3 linked regions of the Coturnix japonica genome follow. The protein of the gene in region 2 binds, or shares a complex with, the protein of the main gene of each other region. Links are inferred from orthologs where the notes say so. Each region holds a gene or a part of one and is shown on either strand. Other genes may lie near its edges. The genes, in order: transcription initiation factor TFIID subunit 4-like, TBP and TAF10.

What was found.
Region 1: TBP (region 2) and transcription initiation factor TFIID subunit 4-like share a complex: the UniProt entries of both Homo sapiens proteins name them as parts of the TFIID basal transcription factor complex. The link is inferred for Coturnix japonica from reciprocal best matches to the Homo sapiens genes TBP and TAF4.
Region 3: TBP (region 2) and TAF10 share a complex: the UniProt entries of both Homo sapiens proteins name them as parts of the TFIID basal transcription factor complex. The link is inferred for Coturnix japonica from reciprocal best matches to the Homo sapiens genes TBP and TAF10.

Annotation. Positions count from the first base shown.
Region 1 is NC_029526.1:9,438,374-9,446,329, reverse strand, and holds the start of transcription initiation factor TFIID subunit 4-like, read left to right. Parts: upstream 1-4; 5' UTR 5-49; coding exon 50-1,100; intron 1,101-4,541; coding exon 4,542-4,714; intron 4,715-7,956. UniProt on the Homo sapiens protein: The TFIID basal transcription factor complex plays a major role in the initiation of RNA polymerase II (Pol II)-dependent transcription.
Region 2 is NC_029518.1:36,562,378-36,570,433, forward strand, and holds the start of TBP (TATA-box-binding protein), read right to left. Parts: upstream 4,897-8,056; 5' UTR 4,787-4,896; intron 3,012-4,786; 5' UTR 2,823-3,011; coding exon 2,769-2,822; intron 1,726-2,768; coding exon 1,391-1,725; intron 773-1,390; coding exon 685-772; intron 1-684. UniProt on the Homo sapiens protein: The TFIID basal transcription factor complex plays a major role in the initiation of RNA polymerase II (Pol II)-dependent transcription.
Region 3 is NC_029516.1:173,983,459-173,991,514, reverse strand, and holds TAF10 (transcription initiation factor TFIID subunit 10), read right to left. Parts: upstream 4,190-8,056; 5' UTR 4,147-4,189; coding exon 3,951-4,146; intron 3,713-3,950; coding exon 3,564-3,712; intron 3,472-3,563; coding exon 3,407-3,471; intron 3,319-3,406; coding exon 3,204-3,318; intron 1,885-3,203; coding exon 1,795-1,884; 3' UTR 1,717-1,794; downstream 1-1,716. Other genes in the region: ILK (integrin-linked protein kinase), read left to right, coding at 1-120, 188-287, 375-505, 662-811; TPP1 (tripeptidyl-peptidase 1), read right to left, coding at 4,323-4,463, 4,582-4,719, 4,962-5,120, 5,210-5,330, 5,427-5,499, 5,576-5,764, 6,644-6,842, 7,026-7,216 and 1 more. UniProt on the Homo sapiens protein: The TFIID basal transcription factor complex plays a major role in the initiation of RNA polymerase II (Pol II)-dependent transcription.

The sequences.
Region 1 (7,956 bases), on a different chromosome or scaffold from region 2:
AGGCCGGCGCGCCTGCGCGCTGCGCGGCCGGCTCCCACCTCAGCGCAAGATGGCGGCGGGCGCCTCGGACCCCCTGGAAGAGATGCTGCTCTTCTCCGAGGAGGTGGACGAGAAGGCGGTCAGCGACCTGGTGGGCTCCCTGGAATCGCAGCTGGCCGGCGGCCGGGGCTCGGCCGAGGCGCCCCAGCCCAGGACCTCCGCCCCGTCCCAGCAGCAGCCGCAGCAGCAGCGCCAGGGCAGCCTGGCGGGGGGCGGCAGCCCCGTCCGGCAGCAGCGGGGGCACCCCGCGCCCCCCCCCGCTACCGGGGCGGAGGAGGCTGCGGCGGGCCGTCCCGGAGCCGCGGAGAGCCGAGCCCCCGCCCCGGGGCCGCTCCCGTCCCCGTCCCCCCCGGCGGCAGCGGCGGCGGTAGCGGCGGCGGCGGCGGGGCGGGGAGTGAGTGTAAACAGTAGTAGTGTGCAGCAATCACATGGAGCGGCTCTGCTCGGCGGCAGCCCCGCCGCCCCGGCCCCGTCGCAGCCCGCCGCGCCCCCGCCCGCCCCGCCTGTCAACAACCATGTGGCCGCCGGCACCGGCTCCCGGGACGCGGGCAGCCCCAGTCCCGGCCGCAGCCCGCCCGCCGCGGAGCCGCAGCCGCGCAACGAGGCCGCGGAGGGGAGCGGGGCGGAGGGCGGCGGGCGGGCGGCGGCGACGGAGGGAGCCGACTCCGCCGATCCCGCTCCGCTCCCCGGCGAGGCGGCGCCCAACGGGGAGGGCGCCAGGGCTCGGGCGGCGGCGGTGCCGCCGGTCAGCGGTCGGCAGAGCCCGGCCGGCAGGGAAGGCGGCGCGGCGCAGCCCAAGCCCGCGCACGGCCCGCAGCCCGCAGTAAACGCACTCGGCAACTCCGCCAGCCCCGCGCCCGCCGCTACCCCGCCGGGACCGGGCTCGGCCGCCAAACCCGCGGGCGTCTCCAAGCCGGCCGCTGCCCTCCCAGCCGCTTCGCAGGCGCTGTCGCCGCGGCCCGCCCTGGGTGCCGCCCCGAGGCTGGTGGCCCCGCAGCTGATCGTCAGGCCGCCTCAGCAGACCACCATCCAGCTGCCGCCGGGCTTCACCATCCCGCCCGGTAAGTGGGGCGGGCGGGGCGGGCGCTCGGCTCTGCTCGGCCTTTCTCTGACGGAGGTTTTCAAAGTTCGCGTTTTCCCGCTGCTCGGCGTGTTGAGAGCTAAAGGACGAGCACCCGTCTGAGGGCGAGTTCTGGCCGACTGTCCGGCATGAGCGAGGTTGTAGTTGGCTTAGGGCACTTTGCTGTTGGTGCAGAGTAGTTGTGCCTCTTGTTTGGCGAGTACTTGTTTCCTCTCGTTGGGAGAATGGTGGTCACGGTAAGTTATTTTGTAACGGTGTAAAAACAGCTGTGCACCAGAACAATCTGGAGTGTGTTAACCAGGAATCACGTCTCTCTTGAAGCGTTCTGCAATCTCTTGATATGGAGAAAAGTTTTCGTTTTCAGTGAGCACCTTCTGATGGGCACCAGGTGACTGTATCCATACTACACAGTCTGATTTAATGTGAAGTTTGTCCTTTTGGGGTGCGTGACTGTGTTGCCCCTTACTGCGTACTCACAGCCTTGCCATCACTGGATTTTGTTTCCAACCACGAAGAATTCCCCATGTCCTGCTTGTTCTCCTTTTATTTTCTTGGTGTTGTTTTGTAAAGTTACAAGTTTAGCTGGTGAATCAAAGCAGCATCTCCCCATCCCGGTACCAGGTACCACTTTACCTGAACATTCCCAGGGTCTCAGTTTGTGCTTAGATTACAGTGTTGCAAAAAGTTGCTAAGTTTGTTACAGGTCCGGGAGATGAATTGGTATGTAAACTTTTTTTTCCCCTCTTTTTTCTATCGAGGTCAGCAGTGTGACACTACCTGGAGATGCTGATGTAACCTCAAATAATCAATTTCTTTTGCCATGTTTCTTTTAATAGCTGTTTTTTGTTAGCTAAGATAAATTTTTCTGTAGCTGTGTATTTAACTGTAGTTTATGGAACTCCAAATTCTGGTGTCCCAACTGGATAAAGCTCAGAGGTTTCCCGGAGTCGTGACTAACTCAAAGGGGTTAGTTTAAAAATGTCTGGCTATATTCCCACTATGTTGGTGGCTTTAGCGATTGATTTCACATTTTTAATATGCTTGATTAATACTAAATTCATGTGAGAAACTGTACCATGACTTTCTATACAGTTTCTGCGGCTTATTGCCTTTGTTCCACTATGTAGTTTTTAAACAGAAGGGGAAAACGGAGCCCTTGAAAGCAATCTTGTCAGAGGTTTAGAGGCAGTTCTGGAAACAATAGTGTGGAAAATGTTTCACTTGAATTTAATTTTATTACTAGATAGCTTGGAATCCATTAAATTGCATTAACGGGAGGATAGCATGTTCTAAGGATGAGAGTAATTCAGAAAATACACTGTTATTTTTGATTAATTACTCTTAAGTTTGTACATCATTATTAACTGATATTGAAACTCCTGTACTGTGATCTTCTGCCTAATGCAGAAGTTTAGAATGAGTTTATTTTAGCAAGTATTACTATATTAAGCATATAATAACCAGTTCTAGCACTTCATACTGGCTTATGAGTTGGATCTTTTCGTGGCTGACAATAAGGAAAAATTAATCTCCATGTTTAACTCAGTTCCGAGGATCTGATCACTTCCTACGTGCTGCAAAATAGTTTTCAAGTCCTTAAAGCTGGATTAAAATATAAAATTGCTGCACGAACATCTTTGTGTCTGTAGAAGCAGTTATATCTGCAACTTTTATTGAAACCATGTGGCTCCTGTTGCAATTAATTTGTACATTCTGTTCATTTATTAATTTTTTTAAAAATTCAGATTGAATTTTACAAGGTTGGAAAAGTAATTAACAAGACAGATGTGAATTGGTGTAATGCCAATAGAACGTGTTTTTTTTTTTTTTTTTAATATGTGCTAGGCTTTATCCTATAAGGATTTTTCTATTAGGTTAATGACACTCAGAGGAATGGTGTCTGTTCTGCACATTGGGGCAGTGTATTAATATTGGTTTGTCCAGAACAGCAGATATCCAATGCAGCATCTGCCTGTGGGGTTTCTACAGACCATTAGGTCTGGTGCCAGAAGGGCTGATGCACCCAGAAAGTTCCTGTTTTAAGATCTGTTGTTGAACTCTTCTTTTAAAACTTCATCAGGCTTTGAGGGAGATGTGATGTATCCTTTGGATGAGATCCTCACAGTAGCTCTGTGTGCTTTTGGCGTTACAGCTCAGTTCCCACAGCTCTTCCGTTCATAGTGGCAGAAATGTGTTTTCTGTTTGTGATTTTTGTGAGCTGGTGAGTGAGGGCTTCTATTGCAGCTGCAATTCAGTTGTGTTCATCATGAGACTGGGCTCTGTGGTTCTGTGTCAGAGACTGAAATAAATGTAAAGACTGCTTCTGAATTTGGTTACTTGCTGGATATAATAGTGCTCAATATGTTTCAAAATCTATTTACCGAGGTTGTTTGTTTGTTTGTTTCTGGGAAGCTGATACTTAGAAGTGAGTATACGTTTTTACCTTCTTTATTTTCCATTGCAAAGTTATCAAATGTGCATGAAGAAATCTACACATATAGACAAGTTGCAGGAACAATGTCTCCTGGCTCTGTTATTAACAGACTGAAAGAGATTTCCTAGACCCTGAAAGACCTGTTCCTTCTTGACAGTATCATGTATCCTACTTGCATCTAAGTTAGATTGGAATGTATTCGGAGACTAACTTGGAAATTCTTTTTAAATAACGTATCTGGATAATGGCTTCTTAGTTCTGACTGATCTAGAAAAAGCACATTATGTGCTTGTAGTGATCTTGAATTAAGCGTAAAGATCCAGGTGACCCAGGGGCCAGCTGAGCCATTGGAAGCTCCTTTTTGACCTGCTGATAATGGAAAAGCAGGACAGTTACAATAAGGGAAAGTCTGGATGTGTAGAGAGGCTTTTATTTGTGAAGTGTATTATGAGAAAACAAAAGTATTTTCATTTACATCCAGAAAGTACTGTGTTCATTTAGAACAATTCCTTGGGATTTTCCTTAGATCCCCATGCTCCTAGTTGCGTTGGGTCTCTGGGTGTGACAGTGTTTTTTCTTCACGCCCAAACCTCCTGGTACAGTGATGGTAGGTGCCAAATAAATTAATGTGTCAGTGCTGAAACATTAACTAGATCTCAAATATTGTATACTCAGGAATGTGTCTGGCTTAATATTTGCATCTACACATTCCCTAATGCTGTTGTTTTAGTAGAGCTTTCTTGTCATTGTCCCTGGTATGTTCAAACTAAATGTTGTTCTCAGCAACTAGACCGTTGTTAGAGTTTACTTTAATGACTATTTATTTCAACTTTAATTCTCCAAACGGGACAATGCTATTGTTGATTTTATTCTGTATTTCATAGTTCTTTATGAAATATGTGATTCTTTATGATTCTTATGAAAAATGCAATTCTTTATGATTTGTCATGTTATTCTTTACAGTTGTTGTCACTTTATTCTCACTAGGTATGGTCTTGGTGCGCACAGATGCTGGACAACTTGTGATGGTGCCTCAGCAGGCTCTAGCCCAGGCACAAATGCAGGCTCAAGTACAGACACAGGGACAAGGTCCTACCAGCATTTCGCCTCGACTTTCAGTGCCCACAGGCGGCCCAGTTTTTCGTCTAACAACAACTCAGGTATGTCTGGCTTGGTTTCACCTTGCTTTTGTGTGTGTGTTTCATTCTCCTCTGTCATCTCATCTCATACATTATCAGTTCTTTGACAAACATGTTTCTCGAAGACAGAAATTGGTTTGGAATGTGTGCCATTGACTTAGTAAATGACATTGTTCCCTCTGTGAGTCACTGTGATATTCCAGCACAGTGAATGGATTTATGTGATCACTAGATTTTACTAGAAATTAGAAAAGAAAAAGCAAAGCACTTTCTGTGCCAGAATTCACAGTACTTAAATTTCTGTAGTACACTTTATTTGGAAGAAGGATTTGATTCCTTTGATTCACTTCTGGATGTGATTGGTCTGCACTTAAAGTTTTGTCTGTGTTTTGACTACATTTTACTCTATTTTAATATGGATTGACAGGATACTGTGCTTTTCTACCCCAGACTGTTTCAGTGGAGAGTGTGGAGTTTGTGTATTTATTTATTTTCAATTACTTTGTATACTTTTTTGGTTTAAAATTCTGTAAGGATGCTGTTCAGCTTCAGACTATGTATGGCCACTGCTTAACTGTCTTACTAAGATGTAGAGGCAAGTGCCTTCAGATGTGTAGGGCTGTTGTGCTGTGATAATTACTGACAGAGTGAAAGGAAGTTTTGCCTAAGTTCTTTGTTTATAGAAGAGATAGATAACCCTAAATGAAATGGGGTGAAAAATATACCTTTATAATTTTCGACTGATTCTTGTGTAGCTTGCTTGAAGTATCTTGAATGTGTGTTTTCCTGTGTTAATATTTGATTGCTATCCCATTATATGCTTTGTGTTTTACACCCTGTTTGTAGTTTAAAAGATTGTTTAGTCAAAAACTAAAAACAGTGATAAACTTTTCAGAAGAGAAGGAAGCCAGAATAGAATTGTATAATTGAAAATGAGGTAATCTAAACCATAGAGCAGCCAAGTAAAATGCGAGTTTTAGATGTGAATGTAATAGGAGTAATGTGTAGTTCAAAAGAATGTATCTCAAGAAGAACACAAAAGCCTGGAAACATCTGATAAACTTAATGCTGTCAGCAAAAAGGGTAAGCACAGTATTAGATGGAATATTGTAAAAGAACTCTGCAGGAAAGGCAGCTGGTTAATATCTAAATTCGTGATATCTGGAAGGGTAAGAAGATTTGTAAAAATCCTTCAGAGATAAGTGTGAGATGTCAGGAAAATAAACACAGCGACAAGCCTATATTGATTTCCAGTTGTTTTTTTGTAACTAATTTGACACCAAAAAAAGTCTGGACAATGTTCATTATTTAGTTTGTATGTCTGTCATTGGTTGTTTGCTTTCTTGTTTTGTTTGTTTGCTTTTAAAATAAATGCTCCACTTTTTACATAGCACACACTCTAGGAATGGATTCTGAGATGAGCGTATAGTATAAATGCATAACAGATCATGGGTGGGACTGCACCAAGAATATGACCTCAGTCTGTTAAAATGACTTAGGTTTAGTTGCTTTGGTTTCATACTGTAAGTTTTTGTGCAACTTCAATTGCTGTGGCTAGCATTCAGAATTAAATTGGCTGCATGTGTTCAATCTTTATTGTAAGATTGGAATTTTATGTGTGCACAACTGATGTTGGGAGTTGATCACATTGGCCTCGGGCAGGTGTTCTCGAGTTATGTGAAGCTGTTAAGATTGTGGAAATAGTGTAATCTGACTTGTTGGGTTTTTCTGAAAATTAAGCTCTGAGGATGCTGCATGTTCATGTGGTGGCAGAGATGCTAAAAATCTGATGGAGGTAGTTCTACTATTAGGATGATGTAGTTATTTTTCTACAGGATTCTGACCAGCTAGATAACCTGCAGAGCATGATAGATATCTCTTTATACGTATTGGTGTTAATTAACAGCTTGAGAATAGGGGCTGGCAAAGCCCTAGGAATGGTAAATGCCTCACAGCATACAATAGTTTGGGTATTTTTAAGGTGGTGGGATTTGAGTCATGATATTGTAGCCAGTCAGGATTCATCTTCTTTGAGAGACCTGTGTGCCTCTAAAAAAAAAAAAAAAAAAAAAAAAAAAGTGGGGAAAATAAATAAATGTTTTAAGTGTTCTTAAATTGAATTGACTTAATCAATAGATTAAGTTGTTTGGGAGGGAAAATTCCCGTGACTTCAGCAGCTGTGCTTATGTCCAGGACGGTCTATGAGGAAGAGCCAACTTTCTGTAGGAGTAGCAGAAGAAAGCGTAGTTTAACTTCCCTCAGGATTTAGCATATGAGCTTAGTATAACTCTTTCCTTTGATTAAAAAACAAGCGCGTGTTGCCTTGCTGAAGGGTCAGAGCTCAAGTATCTCCATATAAGAATATTTTCCTCCCTGTGTAGAAAAGTATGTATTGTGATTGCAGTGTCAAACAGAAAAGTTCAGGAAAATTGAGACATGCAAATTCCCATTCATCCTACAGTAACCTCTTCAACTGTGCAGCGAGTTACAGTCTCTGTGTGATAAATGCACAAAGATAAAAGCATCATCTAGACCAGGCACACCACTTCTACAATTACTGCTGTACTGCAAACTGAAATTTAGTTTTCTTGCCTTTGGGGTGCTTGGCTTTCCTATTCAGGTTACTTCTTCTGATTACAGTTAAAATTTCTGTTAAAATTCTGGGAACGGATGAAGCAGATAAGCAAGTACCTTGTGGGAGAGGCCTCAATTCTGATTAGTTTAATGCAGAGCTTAAAGGCCGTAGAGTATGGGAGCATCACAAAAGAATGTGCAATGTTTGATGGGCAATCAGAAGTAGTGGCCTGGACTTGGGGTGAAGAATCAGCATTTGAAAATAACAGCATAGTGCAGAGAAATCAGCTGTAGAGAGAAGTACCTGTAATATGAAGGTATGTGTAATATTTCAGTGATCTTCTAAATTTGCGTGTGTGGTTTCTTTTAGTAAAATATTAAAGAAAAGCTTAAATATGTACAATTGTACATTAAAATAATTTCAGTTTAGATCATTAATAAGGTTGTAGATGACCATGAGAGGGGTGTTCACTACAACTAACTACACTTTTTTTTTTTTTATTTTTTTTTTAAGGGAGATTATATGTCCAAATATTCAGATATAGAAGAACAAAACATTTTTCAGTTTAGGAATACAATTCCTCTTCTCCGTGTAGCCAACAGAATCTTATCTTTTTAAAATGTTCCATGTTCTATCAGGAAGAACTTACTCTTAGGAAGGATTATTATGAACTTTTGTTGATTTAAGA
Region 2 (8,056 bases):
ATTCACCTTAACTACTATGGTAGAATACAGTAGCCCAGTAAGCTCTAGCTTTTTATTTTACATACTGTAACATCTCTACCTGCATTTATAAACATTCTTAAGCTCTTTGAAGAAACAAATACTGCAAACTGATGTGGGTATCACACACAAAATCTCTGTGCTGTATTAAACTTGGACCAGTTCACTATGCAGTCTCATGTACTACTGTTCTGCTGACATAATGAAGGTAGTAGCATGGGTTACCCAAAAACACATTTGTCAAACTGTGGCTTAAATAACACAGCCAAGCAAGCTATTTGTTTCATAAAAGGATGCACTGACTAAAAGTCACGAGTGCGTTACATAACCCTTCTTTTCTCTCTGCTGTGAAAATCCAGCATTTCATATTGATCGTTCTAGCCTACAAGCTCTGCACAGCCACCTACCCCTAACATAACAGCCAGCATCGCACACTCAAATGTGAGCTGCATGAGCATCTTACTCACATGCAGTTGTTAACAGCATCGCTGTTATAACAGACAGCAACAGCCAGTACTGGGGGAATATCTGAAAGAACAGAGCTTAGAGGGGGAGCGAGGCCATAAAACCCCCCCTGTTCAATCCAGCTACTTACAGCAAAGCACACTCCAGAGATGTTCTGCCCACATACCTGTTACTGGATACATTCTAACACACTTCTCTTACCTTGGGATTATATTCAGCATTTCGGGCACGAAGCGCAATTGTTTTTAAATCAAGTTTGCAACCGAGATTCACCGTGGACACAATATTCCTGAAAATAGTTCAGAGAAATACATTTTAAAAAGTAAATTAAAGAATTCACGCATCTTATCCATCATAACATACTTACTAATTTCTTTTCATTTGTTTAACCAAGCAAGCTTAAGTGACATCTCTCCTACTGACAGGAAACTCCTCTTTTAGGGCAGTACTTCCTTTCAACCCTTCCAATTCCATTACAGATGTTATCTCACCAACAAAATTCTCTGCACACCCCTGCTATGTGCAGGGTCGCCAACCACCAGACCAGGCTGCCCAGAGCCACATCCAGCCTGGCCTTGAATGCCTCCAGGGATGGGGCATCTACAACCTCCATGGGCAACCTGTTCCAGTGCATCACCACCCTCTGGGTGAAAAACTTCTTCCTAATACCTAACCTAAACCTCCCCTGTCTCAGTTTAAAACCATTCCCCCTTGTCCTATCACTATCCACCCTTGTAAAAAGTAGTTTACAATGTCAATGTTCTGCACTACTCATACAAATAAATATTCAAGACCTTCTTTCCTATCAAAATGCAGTACACAATTACTTATGTGGCTTTGCTCTTGGATATTTCGAGTTAAAGCACATCCTGAGATGTCACGGTGTACAAGCACACAACACACTCACTGTAGCTGTGGCACTATCCCAGAGCTCTCGGATGCCGGTGTCGCAGGAGTTATAGGAGTCATTGGAGTCATTGGGGAGGGGTACAGAGGTGTGGTTCCTGGTAAAGGGGCTGTGGTAAGAGTCTGTGAGTGGAAGAGCTGAGGAGTTTGACCAGATGTTCCCTGTGTCGCTTGCTGTGATGTAGACTGCTGTGCTGCCTGTTGCTGCTGCTGCTGCTGCCGCTGCTGTTCCTCAAGGATAGACAGACTGTTGGTGCTCTGGACAGGCTGCGGTGTCAGTCCCGTGCCATAGGGCATCATTGGGCTAAAAATTGGAATTCCAGGAGTCATTGCACCCTGCAGAAGAAAACATGAAAAAGAAACCACAGACGCTTTGACTTAACATTGTTTTAAAGAGAAGAAGCTTGAAGTAGTAGGAGTCTAAGAATAAATCATCTTAGCTGGTCACATCAAGCCCACGGTATATTACTAACTTGCTAAAAACAGAAAACCTTTGGAAGATTCAGTTCTTACACAACATGAATCACAACCTCAATCGATCTGTCAATTCCAACACTTCTCAGCACCAGTCAGCGACGCTGGTACGTTTCCTACAATACCTGGAAAGTGCGTCTCAACTTTGACCCACAATTCCTACTTGCAATCATTAGAATGCAAATGCATTCACAGCACAACTGTAGTCCATTACATATAAGCCAATTTAAAGGATTCCAAAAGCAATGAACAAAGTTAAAATGATACAATGACTTGAGTTGGAAGGGAAAGTCCATCCAGTCCCACCCTCTGCCATAGGCAGGGCTGCCACCCACCAGCTCAGGGCCCCATCCAACCTGGCCTTGAATGCCTCCAGGGATGGGGCATCCACAGCTTCTCTGGCCAAGAGAAGCTTCACAGGCTTCTCTGTGCCTGACCACTCTCTGAATAAAGAATTTCCTCCTAACATCTAACCTAAATTTCCCTCTTTTAGTTTAAAGCCATTCCCCGTTGTCCTACTGCTATTAGACCATGTTAAAAAGTCAGCCCCCCTCCTCCTGCTTGCAAGTTCCCTTCAAGTGCTGGAAGGCTGCAATGAGGTCTCCCCTGAACCTTCTTATTTTCAACATGCCAGTAATGTTTCAGCTTCATGAAAACCATAAATATATCAGTGTATTTCTTAAACCTCTGGATATATATCTATATATACCCATATCTATCTATCTATCTATATATAAATGGTTTTTCATCTCTGCTTTTTACTGAGTAAGTTATATACAGTAGAATTTTTCAGATCTGCAAACACACAAACAAAAAAAGACACAAAGAAATAACATACAAGACACAGAAAACACTCCCACAAAGAAATTCAGACCGCTTTTGCATATCACATCATCCCTTTTTACCTGAGGGGAGGCTAAGCCTTGAGCGTAGGGTGGCAAGCTGTTGTTCTGATCCATGATTCCGGTTATTCTTTGGTGAGGCCAGAAATATTTCCTTCAATTAATTGAAATTAATTTAAAACCAAAAAGGGTTTTTGACCCTCTAAAGCATTCCAGCAAAGCAGCTTTTTAGCCAAGCTGAAAACGTGTCAGGAAAACATCAGCTCCAGAGAAAACACGTTGCGAGTCTAAAACACTAAACAGGGCCTGAAAAGAAAAGAAGTAATATCTTGAGAATAACATTTAAACAAAAGCAGGCTTATCAGCTGGTCTGTTAGATAAGAAATGCCCACATACAAATATATGCGAGAACACTCATACGCACGCACACACCCATGCACCTTATATAAAGCAATCTCTTTCTACAGCCCTAGTGCCCCTGGTGAACATCCACTGCACGTGAGCAGCCGCCTCCACAACGAAGGCCTCCTTCACACACAGCTCCAGTCCTGCATGCATCGCTTCAGATGGGAAAGCATTGACTTTCAGAACTGAATTCCACCAGCTACTGACAGACGAGCCTAAAGCCACGCTTCGCTCACACATCTCCCCCTGGGCAGAGTTAAGGCTTGGCCTTCCAAAGTTGTTTTTTGATTTTGCTATATGAAAATACTGCTGGTAAACTCAGGTTTAGGAAACCTCCTCCCATCTACTTCCATAAAGCAAAGCACTAATGTATTTTGAATTGCAATGACGTACTTCACGAGGGGAAAAAGGGAAACTAAAAGCCAATTCCAGGTATATGCATGAAACGAAAGTATTCTTCTGGGTGTTGTTTCACTTACTGTTTGTTTTTTGCCTTTTAAACAAAGACCTGTACCTCTATTGGCACGCAATGGAAAGAAACAATACAAATAGAGAACTGAAATGCTTTCATGGCGCTGTAAGGGCTGGAAGTGACCTCCAGAGATCACTGAGCCCAATCCTCTGCTAAAGCAGGATCCCTACAGCAGGAGAGTGGCTGGGTAAGTTTTGAGTACCTACTGTGAAGGGGACTCCACAGCCTCTCTGGGCAGCTCTGTCTTCCTCTATTTGTACGGAGCTTCCCATGCTGCAGTTTGTGTCCACTACTCCTTGTTCTGCCTTGAACTGGGGAGCCCAGAACTGGACGCAGTGCTCCAGATGGAGCCTCAGCAGGGCAGGGCAGAGGGGGAGATCACCTCCCTCAACCTGCCGGCCATGCTCTTTTTGATGCACCCCAGGATCCCATTGGCCCTCTGGGCCACCGGGGCACACTCATGGCCAACCTGCTGTCTGCAAACACCCAGCTCCTTCTCTGCATAGCTATATTATGAAATGCTAAGCCTTTTTATCAGATATTTTTCCTATTCATTTATAGCTTAACTGCACACTTACACAGAGAGCTCCTAAGCCATTTTAAGGCACAGCACTGAAACATTTGAAGAAAGCCTGCCCATCTTTCTCTCGTCCTTAAGGCACTCAGTATCACATTAACCACCCGCTGTTTTACCCAAAGGCGTTTCCACGTTGCACACCGTGCAAAGAAGGGGCCCAGCCGTTACCCAGCATCACGGGCAGCCCATCCTCAGGCCCAACACGCCGCGCGGACTCCACATACACCGAACCCAGCCGCCGAGCCCCGGTACCAGGCCCACGTGCAGGGCAAGGGCCGATCACGGCTCCCGTACCGAACCCAAGGCCGCCGCCGCCGCCGCGTTCCCCGCCCGCCGTCACGTGTGGGAGGCGGTGACCGCGTCCCGCCGCCATCACGCCCCCGGCACCAACGGCCGTACCGGGATCGCTCCCGTCGCTCCGCTCGGCCCGCGGCCCGCTCACCCCGCACATCCCTTCTCTCCCTCCCCCCCTCCCCGCCGCTCGGGCCCGCCCGCAGGACCCCGACCCTACGGCGGCGCCCACGGGGAGTAAGAAGCGGGCTCGGCCCGGCCACCCCCCCCGCCATAAGCGGCACAGCCCGCGCCGTGTGGGCTGCGGGGCGGAGCGGGACACGGAACGGCCGGTACCTGCCGCGCGGCGCCGCCACAACCAGCACCGCAACTGCGGGACACAGGCTGCGCCCCGAGACCGCGCCGCCGGCGCGCCTCGATTGCGTCACTTCCGCCACGAATCCGCCCCGCCCCTCTTACCGCCATCTTGAGTGAGGGCGGGGCCTGCGGGCTGTTGTCTGCGGGGTGTTGGCTTTACTCGCACCTCGTGGCACAGCGTGTGGTGCCGTGCTCACAGTGTCACAGTGTGGTGCGGGTTGGAAGGGACCTTAGAGATCATCGAGTCCAACCCCCGGGATTCGAGCCTCTGTGTAGCAGAGCGGCACTTCTACCACACGCGCCACAGGGGGGATTCGAACCCAGGGCCTGCGGTGTTGCAAAGCGGCATTGCTACTACTGCACCACCGGGGCACACGGTGTGCTGGTGTGCTCATGGCGAGAGCCTGCTGTGCTTGCCGGCCCTGCCGCCCGAAGGCTGGCACGGCTCCATGCGGCCGGGTGGTCACCGCCGATGGGGCGTGGTACCTCCAGAGCAGACGAGACGAGGTGCCTGTGCCTCGTAGAGCGCCGCCTCCTCGCTTCCGGTGCCGCCATTTTGCCGTGAGACAGCAGGGCTGGTGCCGTAGGGATGCTGTCCGCAGCGCGATACGCCGAGCTGAGGCCGGAGCCGGGATATGGGCTGGGCGGACCTGTGCAGTACCGCTTCTCGCCATACACCTTCAACGGCGGGTGAGAGCCGCGGGCAGGGATGGGCCGGGGGGAGGTGAGCTGGGCTGCGTCTTGCTCGTTGTCGTTTTGCCTTCTGTCTTCACTAGGAGAGTGGTTAGGCCCTGGAACAGGCTGCCCAGGGAGGTTGTGGATGCCCCGTCCTTGGAGGTGTTCCAAAGACCCGGTTGGGACGGGCCTGGGCAACTCTGATGTAGTAAATGTGTATGTTTGGTGGCCCTGCCAGGCAGGGGGGTTGGAACTACATGATCCTTGAGGTCCCTTCCAACCCGGGTCATTCTGTTATTCTTCTGGCTGTTCATCGCTTGCCTAAGAACTAAGTTGTGCCAATTGTGTGAATTATATGAATGCTCTTCTTTAAGGACTGTGCTGGCGATCGCTGGGGAAGACTTTCAGCATTGTTTGCCTCCGACACACGGCTGAGTGAAGGTTATGCAATTCACAGCCGGGACAGCCCCAAATGCTACAAACTGTAAGTCTGCACCTTGTAAGGACTGAAATGGAAGAATGAGCCTGTAACTCTGTGTAGTATCTTTGATTCTCTGTTACTGTCCAGTGGAAGATTGCTTTAGTACAATTAGGTGTAGAAGCCCAGGATGGCTTTGGGTAATTCGGGTGACAGAAATTGAGGCAATCTCAATTGAAGTGGTTTTGAGTGTTTAAACTTATAAATGTGTGCTGGTGTTTTAACCTCATTGAAGCTAAAGCACTGGGCAGGTATTGCTTGCTTCCACCACAACCCACCTGCAGTGGGATGTGAAAGAGAGCCTGGGTTCGAATCCCCCTGTGGTGTGCAAGGTGGTAGAATGCCCGCTCTGCTACACAGGGGCTCGAATCCCAGGGGTTGGACTCAATGATCTCTAAGGGCCCTCCAACCCACACGAGACTATGATACTGGAAAAAACACAAGGTAAACCAATGGGCTGATGCAAAAGTAGTTTGATAGGTCAGAAAATTGAAGGAAATAATAATAAAGAGAATGGAAGGCATGGGCAATTGCTCTCCCACCTGCTGACCAATGCCCCAGCCAGTTCCTTAGATCAGATTCTCCTTGCGACATTGATCAGCTCTCTCCAACTTTATCATGTCCACGTGACCCTGCACAGTATGGGACATCGCCTTGGCTGGTTCGGATTGGCTGTCCTGCCCTGGTCCCATCTCCCAGCTTCCCTTGCACCCTCATGGCCTCAGTTGCTGTCATGGCAGTGTGAAAAGCTGGGAAAGCAACTTGGCTCTGTGCAATGCTGCTCAGCAACAGCCAAAACATGGATGTTACCAACAGTTACCCTCCATCCAAAGCACAGCAACGTAGCAGCTACTAGGAAAAAAGTGAGCTCTATCCCAGCCAAAACCAGGACAATATGTCAGTGTTTGTAGGCTTTCATAGATTTATAGAACTTAAAATTCAAATGTGGGTTCCTGTAGTTATTGCTTAAATGTTAGTGCCAGTTAATTAATGTTAAATGTTTGCTATGAAACTGATCAAACTGCTAATACTGTATAGTACATCAGCAGATACAGTAACACAGAATGACCCGTGGTTGGAAGGGACCGTCAAGGAGATGTAGTTCCAACCCCCTGCCTGGCAGGGCCCCAAACATACACCTTTACTAGATCAGGTGCCCAGGGCCCCGTCCAACCTGGTCTTGAACACCTCCAAGGACGGGGCATCCACAACCTCCCTGGGCAGCCTGTTCCAGGGCCTAACCACTCTCCTAGTGAAGAACTTCCCCCTAACCTAACATCCAACCTAAATCTTCCCTTTTTAACATAAAACCATTTCCCCGTGTCCTGCTATTGTCAGCCCTTTCGAAGAGTTCACTCCCCTCATGGATACAGGTTCCCTTCAGGTACTGAAAGGCTGCAATGAGGTCACCACTGTTGTGCTGACACCAAAAATCACCTACATCATAAACATTACCTCACCAGCTAAAAGCAGTTCCCTGGCCAGATGGAGTAAAAACATATTGAGTAACATGACACGGCTTGGTAATAGCTACAGTTAGAGGTGCTTGAAGAAATTAAGGTATTTTTTTCTTTCCAAAGCTTTGCTGTGGAAATCAGTGGGTTGAAGACTAACATCTGTGTGATCCTGCACTTAATGAGTCAGCTTTTATTATTGGAATACCTGTTACTACTACATTTTAGACAACTATTTCTGATAGCATTTGAGAAGCTGGAAATACACTTGATATTTTCATAACTTACTTTATAAGAAGCTGATATAGTTCGTGCTAAATCTAAAATCACAACTAAACTTTGTTTTACAGAACAGAGCGAACAGTCATTGGATGCAGTGGCTTCCATGGTGACTGCCTTACACTCACAAAGATTATTGAAGCAAGATTAAAGGTAGCTATCTTAATGTATTTAGAAATGTATTTTTGGTATTGCATTTGAGGCCTATTATAATTTTAAATACAATTTCTTCTTTTTCATCAAGTGTTCATATTGTAACTGTAGCTGTATTGCTAGTGAAAGATCAGGCAGGGTGAAATTGAGGCCTTGTTCTTGCCGGGTGTAACATCACAGGGTTAAAAATGGAAGCACTAAAGAGAATAA
Region 3 (8,056 bases), on a different chromosome or scaffold from region 2:
TTTGTGGTGGACCAGATGCAGGCAGTGAAATTCGCTTTCGACATAGCTCGGGGCATGGCCTTCCTGCACACGCTGGAGCCCCTCATCCCACGGCACCACCTGAACAGCCGCAGCATCATGGTGAGTGCTGCTGCCTGCAGCCCATGGGCTGGGCTGTGGGTGGCTCTGACTGCATCTCACTCCCCAGATCGACGAGGACATGACGGCAAGGATCAGCATGGCCGACGTGAAGTTCTCCTTCCAGTGCCCCGGGCGGATGTATGCGCCCGCATGGGTGGCACCAGAAGGTGAGTGTGAGACAGTCGGGCCCCTCCTGCTGCTTTGCCCCCTTCCCTGCCCTTCTCAGCCCCTGTGCTGCACTGGATTCTCTGCAGCCCTGCAGAAGAAGCCAGAGGAAATTAACAGGCGCTCGGCGGACATGTGGAGCTTCGCGGTGCTGCTATGGGAGCTGGTGACCCGCGAGGTGCCATTTGCAGACTTGTCCAACATGGAGATAGGAATGAAGGTGAGGGGGGAGGGGACCAAAGCAGTGTGAGCACAGCTGGGTCAGCAGGGAGCACAGGCAGGGCTCCATGGAGAGCACAGTGGCATGGAGAGCTCCATGTGCCCACCACAGGCAGGGCTGTGTCCAGCTGGCTGACCCTGCTCTGCCCGCTCCCAGGTGGCCCTGGAGGGGCTCCGTCCAACCATCCCCCCCGGCATCTCCCCACACATCTGCAAGCTGATGAAGATCTGCATGAACGAGGACCCAGCCAAGCGCCCCAAGTTCGACATGATCGTGCCCATCCTAGAGAAGATGCAGGACAAGTAGAGGGAGGTGCCTCCCCGATGTCCGCCGCTGCCATGCTCCCTTCCCCACCACTTCCAAGTGCCTTTAACCCCAGAGCTAAGGGGGAGCAGGGGCTGCCCCCTCACCCTGAGCCAGCCATGGACACACGGTACAGGCGATGCTGCCTTCCCTGGAGCCGCTCTGTGGGCTTCGGGCTCTGTAGCACCGATCTATGGCAGCACCTCCACCCTCCCTGGCAGCTGTGGGCAGACTGAGCAGGACACCTGGATGCAGCCACTGAGCGTGGTGGGGCTCTGCCGCCCTGAAGCCACGTCATGCTCCCAGGCCCAGGGCAGCTCTCCCACTTGGTCTCATGCTGACAGTGTCCAGTCCTGGTGCTCTTCCCTGCTAAGGACAGCAGGGGAAAGTTGCCTTTTTGTGCCCAGCACCACCCCAGCTTCGCGCTTCACTTTTTATCATTTCCATCCAGGCCACGTGGAAAAGCCGCCAGCATCTGAAATAAATATTTGTTATGAAAACTGGCCACGGGCCGAAGGGTGCGTTGATACCTCAATAGGCTGCTGGGAGAAGGGCTGCCCTTGGCACATGGAGCCCTGGGCGCTGGAGCTGCTCTGTGCCAAACCCAGAGCGAGGCAGAGGAGCCTGGCTGCAGCTGCAGCAGCCGTCACAGCCCCAGAACCTTCCTCTTACGAGACATGCTACAGGGAAAGAAAGCACAGAGGAAGCTGGGCGCTTCTGTTTGCACGATGCCCACAGCCCTGCAGCAGCTCAGGGCAGGCTGAGCCCTCCAGGAGATGCAGCTGCAGTTCCCTGCTGTGCAGCCCTCAGCCATCACCTTCTGTTGGTGCTGGCAGAGCAGAACTCCGTGGGCCAAATGCTGCTGCTGCACTGACAGCAGGAGGGCGGCAGGAAACGGGGGGTCTTTCCACCAGAAAAAAAACTACCCATTGGTTTAATGGAGCAGAAGCAAACCCTAGAAAAGTCCCCAGCAACGAGCCCTGCTTTCACGTGAAGTAGTGCGGCTTCTTCACATTGATGCCGTATTCCGCCAGGGCGGGCGTCAGGTCCTCCATGGTCAGAGTGTATTTCTTGTCCTGGGGACAAAGGGCAGCATCACTCACAGCACAGACACAGCACAGATAGATACATCACTCATAGCACACAGACACAGCACAGATACATCACTTGTAGCACAAACACAGCACAGACACAGCACTCATAGCACACAAACACAGCACAGACACCTCGTGCCTTCAGCCCTTGGTTGGGGTTTTGACCCTCATTGGAGCAGTCCATGTGTGTGTGATGCCCAGTGGCTGGGCATTAACCAGCACCAAGTGCCTGAAAGCTGCATCTGCTCTTTGCCCTCCACAGCAGAGAAACGCACTGAGCATTACTCAGCGCATCTATTGCACTGCCCCTAAGCCACAATTGGGGCTGTGTGGATTCCAGAAGCTATTTCTACACGCTTCCTCCCTTTATCTTTTTCCCTCAGCGTTAGTTTGGTGCCATCAGGGCTGGGTGGCCCTGCAGTATCTCCATACACAGCACTGCCCACCTCCTGCCCACCACGCTCCCTCCCATTTAGTCAGCACACATCAGCCTCCCATGAGGTTCAATAAGGACAAGTGCAGGGTGATGCATTGGGTTGGGGCAACACCAGGTGTGTGTACAGACTGGGGGAAAGTCTCCTTGAGAGCAGCCCTGCAGAGGACTTGGGGGGTGAGAAGCTGGATATGAGGCAGCAGTGTGTGCCTGCAGCCTGGAAGGCAACTGTGTGCTGGGCTGCATTTAAAGGGGCGGCCAGCAGGGACAGGGAGGGGATTGTCCTCTTCTACTCAGCTCTTGTGAGCTCATATCTCAGTGCTGAGTCCAGGCCTGGGGCCTCCAGCACAGGAAGGACATGGAGCTCTTGGAGGGTCCAGAGGAGGCCACTGAGATGAGCAGAGGGGCTGGAGCAGCTCTGATATGAGGAAAGGATGAGGGAACTGGGCTGGTTTGGGTTGGAGAAGAGAAGGCTGCGGGGAGACCTCATTGTGGGCATCCAGTACTTGAAGGGAGCGAATAAACAGGAGGGGGAACGGCTGTTTGTGAGGGTGGGCAGTGATAGGACAAGGGGGAATGGTTTGAAAGTGAGACAGGGGAGGTTTAGGTTGGATCTGAGGAGGAAGTTTTTCCCCCAGAGGGTGGTGACGCACTGGCACAGGTTGCCCAAGGAGGCTGTGGATGCCCCATCCCTGCAGGCATTCAAGGCCAGGCTGGATGTGGCTCTGGGCAGCCTGGGCTGCTGGTTGGTGACCCTGCACACAGCAGGGGGTTGGGATGGATGAGCACTGTGGTTCTGTGCAACCCAGGCCACGCTGTGACTCTGTGACCCAGGTCAATGCCTGGCAGTGCCCCCCATCACACCCACCTTGCTCTTGTTGCGGGAGCTCCCCGAGGCCGTTCCCTTCATCTTGCAGTGCTGCAGCGCGTCGTTGGCGATGTCAGAGATGAATTTCTGTGCGGCCAACGAGATCAGCCGGATGCTGCGGGCACAACAACGGGCGGGTGGGCGGGGATACGGCACCGGGGGTCGTTCCGCACCCCCCCCCCCCGGCCGCCCTTTACACTCACATGCGCGGGTCGGAGGCCTCGAATCCCGCTCTGTTCAGGTAATACCCGGTGACGGCGTCCGGGATCTGCAGGGAGAGCCGCGCTCAGCGCCCGGTGCTCAGCACTCGGTGCCCGGTGCCGGTGCCCGCCCTCAGCGCCCGCCCCGCGCCGCTCGTACCGTGGGCGTGTAATCCTCCAGCTGCAGCAGGAAATCCACGAGCGGCGTCCCCGACACCACCGGCTTCACCTCCCCGTTGGCGGCGCCGGGCGGCACGTAAACGCCGTTGGACATCGCTCCTTCGGGCGGCGCCGCGGCCGACACGGGAGCTACGGGAGGAGGCGCTCAGCGGGACTCACGGCACCGCACGGTACCGCACAGCACGGCACGGCCCGGCACCGCACGGTATGGCACTGCAAAGCACGGCACAGCACAGGCAGGCCCGGTACAGCACGGCCCGGTCCGGTCCCTCACGGCCTGGCACATCACGGCCCGGCACCGCACGGCCCGGTCCAGCCCGGCCTGGTCCATCACGGCCCGGTCCCGCTCTCCCCTCCCCGCACTCACCGGGTCCCCTCCCCGCCGCCGCTCCCCCGTCCGCTCCCCTGGCCGCTCCTCCTGCCGCACTGGGTGGCGCCCCGGGGACGCCGCTGCCGCCCGCGGCCGGGCTGTGCTTGTTGTCCCCGGTGGTCCCGGTGGTCCCGGGCGCTGCGGGCGCTGCGGGCACCGCGGTGCCGGGGTCGCTCTCGTTGCTGCAGCTCATGTCGCCCCCCCCGACGGCTCCGGCCGCTCCGCAACGCGCCTGCGCGCGACGCGACGCCCCCTCGGCCCCGCCCCCTCCCGCTGCCCATTGGCCGCCCCGCTCCCGTCCCCGCTCCCCATTGGCCGCCCGTCCCGTCGGTCCCGCACACACGGTTCGTATCGCGGCCTTTATTGGCGTCACGGCGCCGTGAGCGCGCGCAGCAGCTGCGGGAAGTTGGGCGTCCCCCACCCGGTCACCGCGTCCCAACCGGGAACGGCGCAAAAACCGCGGCCCTGAACCGCAGCGTCCAGACACGACACGTGGCAGCCGACGGTCACCTGGGGACGGGGCGGGGTCAGCAAAACCCGACCGGACCGGACGGGACCGAACAGCCCGGCTGGGACCGGACCCGCCCCGCACCCCCCGGGACCCCCCCCCGCCCCCCGCCCCGCTCACGTCGAACAGCGCCGCGCCGTGTCCGCGCTCCCGCAGCCGGTACAACGCGGGGTTGATGAAGCCGAGCGGCGGCTGCCCGCCCTGCAGGCGGCGGTCATTGATCAGCGCCAGCAGCCCCGCCACCACCGGCGTCGAGGCCTGGAACGAACGGGGCAACGGGGGACACGGCTCAGCGCCGGGCGGAGCGCACCGACACGACGGCACCGGAACGGGACCCGACGGCACCGAACCGGGACCCGACGGCACCGGAACGGGACCCGACGGCACCGAACCGCGACCCGACGGCACCGAACCGGGACCCGACGGCACTGAATCGCGACCCGACGGCACCGAACCGGGACCCGACGGCCCCGAGCCGCGCCCCGCCGCCCCGCGCTCACCGACGTGCCCGACACCCAGGGCAGCGGCAGCCGGTTGGTCACCACCCAGTAATTGTCCGACAGCGCGGCCAGGTCGGGGTAAGCGCGGCCGCTGCTGTTGTAGTAGGAGCCGGGCGGCAGCTTCGGGGCGGAGCGCAGGAAACTCCGCACCGCATCGGCCTGGGGGAGGCAGCTCCATCAGCTCCATCAGCCCGATCAGCGCCGGCACCGGGGAGCCCCCCCCGCGGCCCCTCCGCCCCCGGCCGCACCTGGTAGTCGGGCATGGGGAAGACGTTGCTGAAGCCGCCGCCGCTGATGTAATCCGTCACCTCCTCCGTCACCAGGAACGGGTTCTTGAAGGACGTGCCGCCCACCGTGGTCACGTAGGGGCTGAGGACGGGCAGGTGCTGCGGACCCCCCCAAACCCGACCCCCCCCCGGGGCTCACACCGCCCCGCAGCCACGAGGAGCCCGGGGCCGCCGTTACCTCGAGGCCGGGAAGCTGGGCCGGAACGTGTGGTTCCCCCCCGGCACCCTCCGGCACCCGGCACCGTCATCACCTGCGGGCAGCCACGAGTGATGGGGGCGCCCGGAGCGCTGGGCAGCGGGACGCCCCCGGCCCCGCAGCTCACGCACCCGAAGCGAACAGCACGGTGAGGCCGCGGGCGGCCGCCTTCATGAACTCCACGTTGACCCGCTGCAGATAGGCCTGAGACAGGCTGTCCTCGTCGTCCCCGTAGCTGACCGAGTGCACCCAGGGCAGCGCCGACATGTTGCTGAGCAGCAGCAGCCACGCCAGGAACGGCTCCTGGCTCTCGTGCCGCCCTGCGGGCACAAAGCAGCAGTTCCAGGGCGGATCGGGGTCACTGTGCTGCCCCAGCAGCGGCTCTGACCCTCCTGCCCCTGCCCGTGGGTGCAGAGCTCGGTTGGATGCTGCCTTGAATTCCCATCAGCAGAGCAGCTGACGGCAGCACGGCAGGGATGGCTCTGGGACCAGCACCAATCCCTGCCGAGGCCCCTCCTGCCCCTCTCCCCTCTCCATGCAGTGTAGGGCAGAGGGTCCCAGACTCCCTGCAGCTGCTCAGAGTCTCTGTCCTCTTCTCACACTGCAGGCAGCACAGAAGAGACCTGCACACAGGGTCTGTGCACCAGCACACATCAACAGGACAGAGCACACGGTCCCGGTGCACTCAGCCCCCGGCCATCCTCTAACATGGACAAACTGCTGTTGCACAGCACCAGCACATACTGGTTTGCAGCCCCCTTCCTTCAAACTGCCCTTCCCCACCCCGTGGCAGATTCATGGCCAGGTCAGCTCTGCATAGAGAGGGAGGGGAGTGATGTGATTGCTTCACACTGCAAAGCCAGGGCAGGTGTGCAGCGCTGCAGGGCACTGCGGATGGTGCACAGTCACGTATCCTAAAGCAATGGATGATGCCTCCTGTGAGAGCTGTCAGAGACCCACAGCGGCTCCGGTGCTGGAAGCCCACATAGTATGTACCCACAGCAGCTGGGAAACCCCAGTGCCACGGCCCCTATGAGGAACCACGTGAGGTGCAACTCACACCAGCTGGACTGTGAGCAGCCCATCTCACAGCCCTGGCAGGGAATGGCCGCTTCCCTGAACCGACGGGTCAGTGCTACATCGAGCAGGACACGTGGAAGCAGACAGAGGGCAAAGCAGGCCTGGCAGGGGATCAGTACCTGCATTGCTGAAGACCCACGTGGAGATGTTGGCGCCCGTGCTCATGATGTACTCCACATCCAGGCTGGCCTCCAGCCCAGCCCTGCCCTGGCCCTGGTGCCCAACCACGTGGTCGACCTTTGTGCGGTGGGCAAAGCTGCTGCCAAAGAGCTTCATGAACACAGCCAGGTCAGCCTGGTGGAAATACTGCTCCAGGAACTGGGGGGACACAGAAGGACACGGAGTTATTTCTCCAGAGCTGGGAAGTTGGCTCAATGTGCTCATGGAACATTGGCCACAGCTCTCAGCAGCTGCTGAACGCTCCCACAGCACCCTGTGCCCACTGCAATGGTGCCCCAGCTCTGGGGTGCAACCTGCTGCCCCCCCAGCACCGGGCTGTACCTGGGCACAGGCCTGGCTGTTGTTGGGCAGCACTCCAATGTCTGCTGTCGTCATGTTGTATCGCTTCCGAATGACGGACGGCATCACACCCAGGTGGAAGGTTGCTCTCTGCCCATGGGACTCCATCCCCTCCTTGGCCCAGGCCCTGCTGACCACGCTCCTCTCCGCAGGGAACCGGTGCAGGCCCCCCACTGCTCCGCAAAGAAGGAGAAGGTGCCAGGGCCCTGCGCTCTGGTAAGGCACAGCCCTGCTCCCCCTCCTCACCCTGGCTGGAAGGAGGGCACAGGGAGCACCCATAGCACTCTGCACTCCTGGGCTGCCATTACCCCACTGCTGTGCAGCCACCACTGCCCAGCGTGCTGTGTTCTCCTTGTGCCAATGACTGCAGTGCCACGGCTTCCTCACGGGGGGAGCTTCCACCCCTCAGAGGCAGCAGCACAACCAGACACTTACACAACCACAGACACCTGCACAGCCACAGACACCTGCACGGCCACAGACACCTGCACAACCAGAGACACCTGCACAACCACAGACACCTTGCCATGGCCTATCAGACACCTGCACAGGCCAACAGCACCTGCGACGGCCCCACAGACACCTCACGGCCACAGACACCTGCACGGCCACAGACACCTGCACGGCCACAGACACCTGCACGGCCAGCACTGAGCAGCCGGTGCCAGAGATGCCATGGGAAGCACTGAGGTCACCACCTGGCTCCTCAAGGAGCACAGGGCGGCTGGGGCACAGCCAGAGAAGCGCCGTGCTCTGTGCACTGTGGTTGCCCCAGCCCGGCCAGCAGTGCTCAGCCTCCCACCTGCATCACTGAGCAGCCCCATTGCCCCGCACTGTACCGAAGTCGATGTGCTCTGCCAGCTCCTCGGGAACCACGTAGGGCTGTGGGGAGCGGATCACGCTGCGCTGGCCCTTCACATAGCGATGGAACTCAGCCCCGGGCAGGAGGCGCTCGGCCGTGCTGCAACACAGGGACAGCTCACATACAGCACAACACAACACAACACAACAGC